Caenorhabditis elegans: one gene and its partner. The protein of the gene in region 1 purifies or fractionates together with the protein of each later gene. This does not show direct contact. Each region holds a gene or a part of one and is shown in the gene's direction. Other genes may lie near its edges. The genes, in order: sec-3 and enpl-1.

Region 1 (6,631 bases):
TCAGGCTAAAAGCGACTTATTGGCAACGGTTAGATAGAGTTCTAAATTTGCAGTTTTTAAAGCAGAACTATTTTTTCAGCTGGAGTCTGCAGATCACGATGATTTTGTGTCGAGCATGAAAAATACATTTATTTACGGGAAATTCATAAAACGTTCGCCTTCGGAAAGCTACGTCCCCTCGGCGACCGTTTTTAAGACACTGACTTTCAGCACAATGCCGCCCCAAGTCAAATTGTAAGAACTACCAAATTTAGGTTTTTAACAATATTTTTCGTTTTAGCAAAAAATCGTCTCGACCGGTTCCACCTGGAAAAAGTCTTGGAGAAGTCGTCTCTAAAATGGCGGCAAGTCAGCCGCAGTACACTGTGCGATCTGCTCCGTACTCAAAGGGTCGAGCGGTAAGATTTTGATAAATGCATTAAGTTACTTGTCATGTCAGAAGGTACTACTACATATTGTATTATCACTATTAGACTTGCTCACCGATTGCTTCACGCTGACAGCTAATATCTCGATTTTCTTTAATTTTATCAAAACATTTTAACTGCGTAATTACGTAAAATAATTTTCAACATATTGACATTGTACTATTTTTGGTACAATTTAAGACAACCGAGATATAAGCTAGCAGGTCTAATAGGACAAGTTTCAGTAGTTACCAAGATTTAAAATACTTCCAAATTCGGATTGTCCAGCATATTTTGTGTGTTTTTTCTTTAGAATACAATAATTACTAATGGGGCTAATCAAGTAATGTCGCGAAATGTAACAAAATGTATTGAAATATACATATGTCCACATTTGTTTTATAAAAAAAAATTTAAAGGGGCGATAATACAATTTACTGTAAAAACTAATAAATAAATCAGATCATCAAAATCCCGACTTCAATTCGTAACCGCAACTACACACTTCCACCTGCAGGCCCACTTCCGCTGCGTCGCACTTTGATTACTACCAACTACACCATGTATCCAGTCAGAAACGCTGTTCAGTGATAATCTCATTTTGAAACTTACCCCCGATTTAATATAGCTACATGTCATTAATCATTTTCTTTTGTCTCACTTAAGTTTTCTGTTACTTTTTTTCTACTTTTAACTTATGCCTCAAGTCACTTCCAAATCAAAACCACGACCTTTTCAAACTCTCTGTTGTTTTTTTTCTGATCCGTGTAATATTATTTATTGTTTCTTTCTTTTTTACTTTTGCAGATTCTCCTAATTGAAAACTTTCAATTGTCATTTTTTTACGGTCCGTTTTAGGAATCGTGTTCTATTTAAATAATTGCCAAAAATAAATCTTTTCAGGTCAATCAATTCGTTTCAATTCTATTACTATATCTTTTGCAAGTGTAAAAATAAAACCAAATAAAATTATTTTTGCTTCCCTGCATTGCAATATAAATAGTGGTGTTCATCGAGAAACGCGCACGCTAACCGGCCACTGGCGTGTTTTTCGTGTACTAGTCACCACAGAAAACTGCAGAGACGCAGAATAACTCCGTATGTTTTTACTGGGCATAACTGTTTCCAATTCCCTGATTTTATTGTTTTCTTTTTTAATGCTTGGTTTAAGTTTAAAATTTTTATTATTCTACTTAATCAATGTGATTATATAAATTTTCAATTTCAGATTTGAATGTCTGCAATCAGGAAGATAATCCAGCGGCAACTTTTCCAGAAAGACGATGAAAGAATTCAAGCAATAGTCAATGTCTCAAAGTTGGATGGAAAAAAGAAGAAAAACCAGACACTACTATGTTTAGCAGGTAAGAATTCTTGGAATTGTCCTGTATAAAAATCGATAACTTGCAGTCACAATCGAGCACCCCATCGCCGTCCGTTTATACTTTGTGAAAGGGGAGAAAGATGATACATTCAAAAAGAAGGACAGGTTCAATTTGAGAGAAGTCAGAGAAATCGACGGAATAAATCCGAAAAAAGTGAGTATTTGAAAATTATATGGATTCACGCAATTTATACGATATATGTAGTGAGCAAATGTGAGCGTAACGAAGAACATAACGCAAAAAATGTGAAGCTTCTCGAATAACTGAGGATTTTCAAGTTTTACGAACACTAATGTTTGATGGAGTTTATCAACCTAAAATAGCTAAAAATTCGCCATTTTGCCGCAACTTTTCAACGATCTTTATCAATTGTAAAAATTGCAATTAGCTAAAGTTAGGTGAGAAGTTGTTGAAAGAATAGTTATTGTACACTAAATTTGTCGAAAAGATGATGCAAATTGCAGGAATTATTTTGACAAAATGGCTTATCAATTAGTTAAATTCGCATTTACTTCAAGTTTTTTTGGGTTTAAAAAAAATTGAGAATTTTATTCAACTGACAAACATTAAAAAAATTCAGGCATCACCAGAGTTCCACATCACTATCGGTGATCATCAATATGTGATTTTGGCTGGTTCCGCTGAGGAAAAGGACGAGTTCATTCGAGAACTCTACAAGGTATCCAACTATAATACTTTCAACTTTTTTACTGAAAATTTCGTATTTTAGTTGTCATGCCAATACCTTCCAGTCCAGATGCCAGATTTCTGCAATTTCTCTCTACCGCAACTTGAATCAGAAACCTCCATTATACCCATTGAGCTTCCTGAGCATGATATGGCGATGCAAAGTGATTATCAGCCAATATCCAACAAGGAGGACGCAGACTTTCGAAAGTTGATTGCGCGAGCTAATTTGACTATTGGTGAAGCACATATTTTTGCCGAAATGCTGACGGAGCAATTGCAATCTCTCGATGGAGCCAACATCAACTCTATGATGGACAGTGAGAATTCCGTAAACCAGTTGCTTTCGAGTATTGATGCAGCATTGACCGGTGTTGAGTCGGTCGAAAAAGAGCTTGATCGTTGTGATGACATTTTGGCGGTACTACATTGTAAAGGAATTTATTGAAATTTTAATCAACTATTTTCAGTTTGTGAGGAACAGTATCGAATTGATCGAAGAGAAAGATAGTTTATCGGTGGTTGAAAGAAAGAACAAGCAACGTCTCAACGAGGAAATCGTTTCATTTGTCAATTCGTTGCAGGCTGTTACTGATTCCCACATTGAGACTCTGAAACAAGCTAACTTCAGTAACCCAGAAAGGTAGAGTGAACAACTTAGAGTTTTCAAGTAATATTATGATACTTCAGTGTTCAAAGATGCACGGACGCTGCACGCGCTGTTGCACAATTCTGGCACGGGAGGATTTCTAAGCCAATGCTTCAAATGAAAGCCTATCAGGACAGAAATGATGAGCTTACCGCAGTGGATGTCTTTGTCGATAGGCTCATGTCTCACCTCTCTGCACTGTTCTCGAATTTGGTAAGTTTCAATGAACGTGTGCTTGCTTGCTCGAGGACCCCCTAAATTGTAGAAGTATTAGAGAATTCCGGAGGTCACGCTCTCGCTAAAGGACCCTCTGAATTTTTTGAAAATTTCAACCAAAATTCTCGAATTTCAGATATTTTACAGCGCATGCGAAGCTTTTTTTACATCACATACCATAATTTCACAATAGATTCACGTTAAAATGTGGAGTTTTTTCAATACATCTATTATAAATTTTAGAAGAATCCTGTAGCAAGCGCGCGCACTGTATAAAATCATTTTCAACGCGTGTTTTTTTTTCAGAACGACTTATCTTTGGATCATGAGTGGCATGAACTGTGTATTCCAAAACAGTCTCAACGCTTTCGCGCCCTTTCTCCACTCTCTGATCTTATCAACTGGCTGAAAACGAACCGTCCAAAGGCTTGCAATTTAGTCTTGCAAAAGTATATCGACAGCACGAATCTACTTTACAAACGTCTATTTGACAATTTCTTTGAGACACTGATCAACAAAGTTCCAAAAGCTAACAGTTCTGAAAAGAAGTCAAGTATGTTTGCTAATATTTGCAGCAAAAAATAATCATCTGATTTCAGAAGCAAATGAATCTGCAAACATTTCACTTCGTTCTGACAACCAGAGTTTCCTGAGCACCTCCAGTGAAATTGATACTGAAGTCTTACCGCAACTCATCGAAACGGTGCTGGCAGAACTGAGCGCTGTGATTGACGCAGAGCAAAAGTTCGTTGTCCGCTTCTTCCACATCAACTCGGAGCTGTTGGCTCAGTTCGATACGACTTCAACTGGAAGCGGTGATAGCTCAAGTCTCGGAGGACGTAGTATGGAGAAACATATGAACGAGCAAGTGAGACACGTTATGGGCAACTTGTTTGACTCGCTCAATATTCATCTTGATAGTTTCTGTCGGGCGGTTTGTAGGCACAATCCTAGGTGAGAAAAGGTACACGTACATATTATTTTAAATTCCTACACATTTTAGCAATGTTCTCCTTTTGTTTGTAATCATGTCGAAGAAAGTGCTTCTACCACAAGACCCAAGCTCCTATTTTTCGATCACATTTGGAAGTTTAGTTGTTCTGATAAAACGCCAGTTTGATGCATTTATTGTGAGTTCCATTTATATGTACTGTAATTGCAATAATCTTCTCTTCCAGCAAATGGAATGTTCCCAGTACTCGGAAGTTCGCATTGCTAAAAAGACTAGAATCGGAATTCTCCCATCAATTTTTCGCTTTGCAAACTTTGTGAGACGTGCTGAAATTATCTTTGAAAATGCCGAGAGAAGAACTGACTTGGAGAAGGCATATTTCAATCTTTGCCGGGCGGTTTGTGACGGGATACAAAAAGCTGCCGCCAATCAATACAGCAAGTCTCCGTCGTCTGTAGTCAAGTTTGAAAATTACCACGAGCTCTATTGTAAGTGTTCTAGGAAACAATAAAGTGTGATGGTGATAAATGTTTCAGTGACTTTGTCGGAGCTAAAAATCTCATGTTTGGATCAACAACGAAAAGATGCGAAAGCGCTCAAGGAAGAACATATTGATGCGTACGTAAAAGAGTTTATGGGTCGTCCACTCAAAGAGATTCAGGTGATATATAAATATGGAAATTTATGTTTCAATACTGTGCTGCCAATGCTTGAAAAAAAACTTGACTATTATGCTTTAAACTAGTTTTTTCTTTCTAATTTTGGCTTGTCATTCTACAACATTTGTAAAAAAAGGCACTCTACCATAGTTTAAAGTTGGAGTACCAAAATTTGAGGCTTTGCTATTTTAGACCCAACAATTCAGCGCATATACGCCCAATAAAAGACCAACAAATTTATTAAAGAGTGATCAATAAATAAAAATTAAGTTCCAGACGCTGCGACACCGAGAAGTTGTAAAAATTGTGATTTTAGCTGCAAAACCTTTTTTCCGACTTTGAACCTCCATAACTTTTTTTGAGGAATTTTCAAAACATCTCATTCGAATTTCGGTACTCCACCTTTAAACAAAAATCTCCCAAAACTATCGATATGTATTCCAAAAATTTCAGACGTTCTTCGACAATGTCAACAACTTTATCGAAACGCGTGGAATTCGTCCTGATGAAATCTCGTATCAACAACAATTCAGTCGCATTGAGCTTAAAAAGGTTGAATTTCTAGTTAATCATCAAAATCGCCATTTCATAAATTTTCCAGGTAATTTCACAACATCCGGGAAAAGAAGTGAAAAAAGGACTCGAGCAACTGTACAAGAAAATTGAGAAGAACCTGGTTGCCAATTCATCACTTTTGCAAGTTGTATGGAGAGATATGCAAGAGCAATTTGTCAAGCAAATTGCGGAATACAACAAACTGATTCTCACTTGTTACCCAGGCTCGAAGATTGAGCTCGAAGTTTCCACTGACACTGTACTTCAGTTCTTCTCAGAAATTGCTCAACAACACTAATATTACGACGAATAATTTTATTGAATTTTGTTGTTTTAATTCATTTAAAATTTAGTTTTAATTTATCAGAACTCTAATACTTACTGAACCATGCTTTGTAATATATTTATTTATCTATTCTGTAATAGGTGAACTTCGTTACATTACTGATGTCTGTAATATAAATTTACGGGTGTTCCCCATTCGAAAATAGTAGTAATGCTTGCTTTTTTGAAAAATAAATGTCTTGCTTGGTGACTTTTATTTCACGTATTTTCAAATGCTCACAAAAATTTCACGGAACTGACTTCTTGGTTACACATTTGTAGAAATTTTGACTGAATGTTTGCATTGAACTGGTCAACTTAAGAATCTGACATGCAAATGGTGTGTTTTCTGAAGAACACACTTTGGCAACTTTTAATAAAAAAGGGGTGTAACACGATTTAAATCTAATAAAAACAACTTCTATAATGTTATTCCGTTTATATCTCACTTTATGTTTTACATTTTACTCTTATATACATTTTTTGACTCATTTATACAGGGTGGTCCATAATTATGGACCACCCTGTACTTATATCTTATTTAAAACTATTTCATGTAAGAATTGTTTTAACAGCGCATTTTTTTTCATCACTCGATTTAAAGGTAAAATTGATAGGCCGCAATCTATTTTGGAAAACTTCAGAACAAAATTTAACATTTTAAGAGGTAACTGTGAAGGTTTATAAGAGAATTATAAACCGATCTAACCACTAAACATGGTAACGTAGAAAAAGTAAAATTAGGGGAGGGGGGATGTTTATTTATTCTTGGTTTTCAATTCTTATCAGACTCTGTA
Region 2 (6,227 bases), on another chromosome or scaffold:
GGAGCAAAATCGGAGCATCAATTCCTTTTGCGACAGATGTCATCACGTCTGTTCCGAAAACCCAGAAGATGTCATAGAAAAAGAGACCAACGAGAAGAAGGGATCCAGCCTGTAAAAAAAATTAATAATGATATTAATTAGTCTTTTCAATGAAATTTTTTTAAAACCTATTTTTGCAAATAACGGTTTGATATTTAAAAGTTTCTTTTAAACAGCTTTAGGCCAAAATTGAGAACTATTTACTTTGTCCAAATATTTCAAGTTAGTTCAAAAATATATTATTACTATCTGGTCAATTGAAATTATTCTTCCATTCAGTAAGCGTAATTGTAGCTTTTTTGTCTTATTACAAAAATATTGCTATATTTTTTAATAATTGTTAAATTTACCTTGAAACTGGCCAAATGAAGACGTTCGATTCCCAAGATTGAGAAGCTCACTCCGATAATATTATTGGTGATCCAGTGTCTTTTCAGCAGGTGAGAAATGAGAATTGGAGAGCACATCAATAAAGCGATGATATCGTAACGATCAAAGTCAATTTTGAAAAGATATTCCGTTTCCTTTTTCTTCGCATCTTCGATATCACCCTCTTCCATTTCCTTATTTCCCTTTTTGAGAGAGAATAAGTACGGAGCATTGAATCTTAAGAAGGATGGAACCAGTGGCATCTTTTTGAGAAACGCGGTAACAAATGGCTTCAACAGAGACGCGAAAGCGTTGACTCCTTCGAAACAGATGAGGAAAGTCAAGAGTTGCATACATTCTGCTTTTTGAATTGTTGGTAAGTTGGTATAAGCGTATGTAGCCGCATTTTGAATTGCTTCTGGAACGCGTTCTTGAGGTATCCTTGACGCCAAGCGGAGCAAGAATGGCTCGGAAGGCCCAGTAGTCGTAGTATTAGCGGTATAGCTGATAATAGTGCTATTGATCTTCTGGACATATTCTTCGGGAACTCGCAGAATTTGGAAGACTCTGGCAACCCAAAGGAAGCGTTCGGCGGCAGGCTTGAAGAAGAGGTAGAGACCGAAGAGAACCAGAGAAGCAGAAATAGGGAATTTCCTGGCTTCTCTCATAGTGATCGAACCTTCAATAAGTCGCTTCTTGTCAATATTCGTCCTTATGTATTGAGCTGAACGAATCGATCCAATGATGATGCAGAGGATAGACATTCCGTAAAGCGCCAACGAGCTTGTAGCCTGAATGAAAAATTGATTTAAAAAAGTTCGCATGGCTATTTATCACATTTAATAAAAACTTCGTTGTAATTTTATACTTGTCCACTTCATTTATTTTACAAAATTTCAGTAAAAATCTCACCTGTTCTTCGAATGTAAAAACTGTGACATTGCTAGCCGTCGGCGGGATTTCGGTCGCTGCTTCAGCCATGTCGCGAAAGGTTTGAATTCCCAACTGGAAAAACTGAGATTAAGAAATGGAGGTATATTGCCTGATTGAGATGAGAAACCGGTTTATGAGACGGATAAACAAGTAAGTTTGCTGAGTAACGATCACAAATTTCACAAATTCTCAAGACAAGTGAGATGATTAATTTCTATAAGGATTAATTTAGATGATCCGAACATTACTTGAGTGACTGTTATAATAGAAAGACTGAAAAATCGTCTTTTAAATTAACATATTCCATATTGCTGGATCCGGCAAACAAAAACAATGTTCCAGGACACTCACTCCACGTGTTCTGAGCTGTCGTCTCGGTCGTTGATTGGCTGATTCCGCCTCTGTTTGCAACTAGTAACGCGCCGCAGTTTGCAGTTTTCAGTGAAGGACAACGTGTTTGCAAGAGACGCAGACACTGTGCGGCACTTGCAAATTGGGGCGGGACTTTTAGGGACACGTCGAGAAGGGGTGAGCCCCGGCGAAAGAAAGCAAACAAGCGGAGAGAAAAGGGGAGTAATTGACCGTTGGAAAGACACCTCATTCCATTTATTCTCGGTCGTTAGGAAGAGACGGCGATGAGATTCCTTTTGGTGGGCTTCGTCGCCCTTCTGGCTGTTTCAGGTATGTCTTTTTATTGATTTTCAGAGCTTAGTGAGCTTTAAATAGAAAACCGTAGTTTTGAAATTGTAAAAAAAATTTTTAAGCTTAAATGTACGCTGAAAATATTAAAACTGTGTTCACAGAATAAAAACATTAGGCTTTATTTTTTCATTCTGTGCATACACGCCACGCAGTTTTTGAATTCACGTTTTTATTCCCAACAATCATCACTTTTCAGCCTTCATTCCAAATGTCTACGCCGAAGATGAAATCGAAGACGCACCAAAGGAAACCAAAGAAGAAACAAGGTAATTTTTGATAATTTGATTATTATGAAAAATTGCAATTTGAAAAAGTCTAGAGAATTTTGAATTGTGTTTCGTACATTTTTTGAACAATTTCGTGAATATGTCGAAATCAGAATCAATAACCTTGTTAATTTTTAATTAGATCTAATATATCAGAAATATCTTTCGAATTCGTTTTTCGCTCTTAATATTGAATAGTTACAGTTTTAGCTGGATTAAGTGTTCCAAAAAGATAAATCACATTTTCTTCCACTTTCCAAATAAATTGACCTGTCACTACGTGTCTGTTCCTTTTCCTGGTTACTCTGAACTATCTCAATATTTGTCTACCCCCGGCCTCAGCCAAAACTTTTGAACGGTACCAGGTCGCGTCAGTCCACTTGGTGACTCTCATCCGTTTTGCACACTATTTTGTACTCCCGCGGAGCACTATTTGATTGAGTCTTGCCCTTTGTCGGAATGCAAACAGACTCGATCTACTGCTAGGTTATCTTATCTTGTTTGTGTTTCCTTTTTCTCAAATAAGAAAAATCGGCTGAAGGGTCAAGAGAGACTAAAAGGGTTATCTCCGACCTAGATAATTTAACGTATGCTTTCCTAGATTCACGTAATAGCCTGTCAAGGACGGAGATACGAATCACAAGATTTAATCTTCTGCTAATGGAAGGTGTAGTATTAGGGATGCCATACACGGATTAGAAGTGAACGCATTATTTTCTAGGGTTTCTGATAAAATTTTGGAAAATTAAAGATCAAAACTGTACAATTAAAACACAATACAGTTTAAAACAATTTAAAAATATAACTAGTTAACAAAAAAAATTGAAATTGATAAATAATATTTTCAGAGAGGAAGATTCGATCAAGCTCGATGGACTATCTGTCTCCCAGATCAAGGAGCTCCGCTCAAAAGCCGAGAAACACGAATTCCAAGCCGAAGTAAACCGAATGATGAAACTTATTATCAACTCTCTCTACAGAAATAAGGAGATTTTCCTCCGTGAGCTTATTTCTAATGCTTCCGATGCTCTCGACAAAATTCGTCTTCTTTCCCTCACCGATCCAGAGCAACTCCGTGAGACTGAAGAGATGTCTGTTAAAATCAAGGCTGATCGTGAAAACCGCCTTCTTCACATTACCGACACAGGAGTTGGTATGACTCGTCAAGATTTGATCAACAATTTGGGAACTATTGCACGCTCTGGAACTTCAGAATTCTTATCCAAACTTATGGACACTGCCACTTCTTCTGACCAGCAACAAGATCTTATTGGACAATTCGGAGTCGGATTCTACGCTGCCTTCCTTGTTGCCGACCGTGTTGTCGTAACCACCAAGAACAACGATGATGATCAGTACATTTGGGAATCTGATTCAGCTAGCTTCACCATCAGCAAAGACCCACGTGGAAACACATTGAAGCGCGGAACTCAGATTACATTGTACCTCAAGGAGGAGGCAGCAGATTTCTTGGAGCCAGATACCCTCAAGAACTTGGTGCACAAGTATTCCCAATTCATCAACTTTGACATTTTCCTCTGGCAATCCAAAACTGAAATGGTGGAAGAAGCAGTTGAAGAGGAACCAGCCACCACTGAAGACGGAGCTGTTGAAGAAGAGAAGGAAGAAAAGAAAACCAAGAAGGTTGAGAAGACCACCTGGGATTGGGAGAAGGTCAACAACGTTAAACCTATTTGGATGCGCAAACCAAATCAGGTCGAAGAAGACGAATACAAGCAATTCTACAAGAGTATCACCAAGGATTCGGAAGAGCCACTGAGTCACGTGCATTTCAGTGCTGAAGGAGAAGTTTCCTTCAGATCTATCCTCTACGTTCCAAAGAAGTCTCCAAATGACATGTTCCAGGTAAGAATATTGAAAGTTATATAGCATTTGTTTTAATTGCGTTTAGTTATTTTCAACTAATAATGTTATTTCAGAACTACGGAAAAGTTATCGAAAACATCAAATTGTACGTTCGTCGTGTCTTCATCACTGACGATTTTGCCGATATGCTTCCAAAGTATCTTTCCTTCATTCGCGGTATCGTTGATTCAGATGATCTCCCACTCAATGTCTCCCGTGAAAACCTCCAACAGCACAAACTTCTCAAGGTTATCAAGAAGAAACTTGTCCGTAAAGTGCTCGACATGCTCAAGAAACTCGACGGAGCCCAATTCGATGACTTCTGGAGCGAGTTCTCTACCAATATCAAGTTGGGAGTTATGGAGGATCCATCCAACCGTATGCGTCTTGCTAAACTTCTCCGCTTCCAGTCTTCTAATGATGCTGACAAAACAACTACTCTTGCCGCCTATGTCGAAAGAATGAAAGAAAAGCAAGACGCCATTTACTACATGGCTGGAACTTCCAGAAAGGAAGTTGAAACTTCTCCATTCGTAGAGAGACTCATCGCTAAGGGATACGAAGTTTTGTTCCTCACCGAAGCTGTTGATGAGTACTGTATTCAAGCTATGCCAGAATATGAATCAAAGAAGTTCCAAAATGTGGCTAAGGTGAGTATTGAAGGCTTTTTTCTTTAGTGGCTATGATGTTTTACCTATCAACATGCTATTTTTCAGGAAGGAGTTACCATCGATGATGGAGAGAAGGCCAAGGAAGCCCACAAGGGTCTTGAAGAGGAGTTCAAGCCACTTACTGACTGGCTCAAGGAAACTGCACTCAAGGATCTGATCGAGAAAGCAGTTGTTTCTCAACGTCTTGTCAAATCACCATCTGCCCTTGTTGCCTCTTCCTACGGATGGTCTGGAAACATGGAGCGCATTATGAAGTCGCAAGCTTATGCTAAGGCAAAGGATCCAACTCAAGACTTCTATGCTACTCAGAAAAAGACATTCGAGATTAACCCACGCCATCCAGTTATCAAGGAGCTTCTCAAGAGAGTCACTGCTTCTGAAGAAGATACCACCGCTGCTTCTACTGCCAAGCTTCTCTTCGAAACTGCCACTCTTCGTTCTGGATTCTCACTTCAAGATCAAGTTGGTTTTGCTGATAGAATCGAAGCTGTCCTTCGCCAATCGCTCGATGTTTCCCAAGATGCTCAAGTTGAAACCGAACAGCATATTGAAGAGGCTGAACCAGAGCCAGAAGCCGCTGAAGAAACAACGATTGAGGAGGAGCACTCTGAGCTCTAAACAATGTAAAACATCTCCCCATTCCATTAGCTTTATGCACTCGATGATATTGTGATAAGATAAGATAACTTGTGTTGTTTTCTATTTATTTAATGTTGTTTCTCCCCCCACTTCTCAGTCTCAGTACTTCTCGAACACTTTACGGTTCCTTTCCCCTTTTGTGGTTGTAATTGCAATATATTGCATTTGAAACTAAAATAAAATCTGTTTCATATTATTTTCAATCACTATCATTATCTATCATATTCTGGAACTTTTCTTCAGCATCCGAATCTATATAGTCATCGTCTTTTGCTTCCCGATCATCATCTGTCGACAGCGAACATTGTGAATCTTCGTGGTACTCGTTTATAATCGTCTCTGGTTGAATCGGAATTTCTTTTTCTATCGACATGACTCTCGGAGCAATCAAGAATCGAGCCATATACTCCTGTCCGCACATATTTATTGATTCAAGTTCCATTTTAAATTTATTCTGAATCATCCAGTCTAATTCTCGTGTCACCACTATTTCTCCGAGTTGAATCGATCGAGGAATCATCTTCTCAATTTTCACAAAATCAGTTCGAACCAATGGAAGACATTGTGATTGATCGATGGTGAAACGATGAAAATCAGTTGGGAAAAGACTGGAAATTTGTTGAAATTATGAAAATAAATATAAAATCGTCTTACCCGATCCATTCAATCGTTGGAACAAAGGCTCCTCGGCCTTCGGCAAATTCTTTCGTAGGTCCATATTTGTAAGTCAAGTAGATTTCAA

What was found.
Region 2: the proteins of sec-3 (region 1) and enpl-1 fractionate together in Caenorhabditis elegans (co-fractionation; one large-scale study listed by BioGRID). This does not show direct contact.

Annotation. Positions count from the first base shown.
Region 1 is NC_003284.9:3,094,848-3,101,478, reverse strand, and holds sec-3 (Exocyst complex component 1), read left to right. Parts: upstream 1-1,626; 5' UTR 1,627-1,641; coding exon 1,642-1,771; intron 1,772-1,817; coding exon 1,818-1,945; intron 1,946-2,372; coding exon 2,373-2,471; intron 2,472-2,522; coding exon 2,523-2,900; intron 2,901-2,949; coding exon 2,950-3,122; intron 3,123-3,169; coding exon 3,170-3,341; intron 3,342-3,415; exon of another isoform or gene 3,416-3,551; intron 3,552-3,650; coding exon 3,651-3,897; intron 3,898-3,943; coding exon 3,944-4,298; intron 4,299-4,347; coding exon 4,348-4,474; intron 4,475-4,522; coding exon 4,523-4,784; intron 4,785-4,832; coding exon 4,833-4,957; intron 4,958-5,408; coding exon 5,409-5,507; intron 5,508-5,556; coding exon 5,557-5,808; 3' UTR 5,809-6,051; downstream 6,052-6,631. Other genes in the region: ztf-13 (C2H2-type domain-containing protein), read left to right, coding at 1-28, 80-234, 281-398, 870-998.
Region 2 is NC_003282.8:11,117,475-11,123,701, forward strand, and holds enpl-1 (Endoplasmin homolog), read left to right. Parts: upstream 1-1,823; 5' UTR 1,824-1,976; coding exon 1,977-2,022; intron 2,023-2,239; coding exon 2,240-2,309; intron 2,310-3,157; coding exon 3,158-4,175; intron 4,176-4,249; coding exon 4,250-4,825; intron 4,826-4,891; coding exon 4,892-5,464; 3' UTR 5,465-5,681; downstream 5,682-6,227. Other genes in the region: imp-2 (Intramembrane protease 2), read right to left, coding at 1-109, 390-1,199, 1,321-1,389; Meiotic recombination protein spo-11, read right to left, coding at 5,685-6,093, 6,140-6,227. UniProt on the Caenorhabditis elegans protein: Molecular chaperone that functions in the processing and transport of secreted proteins.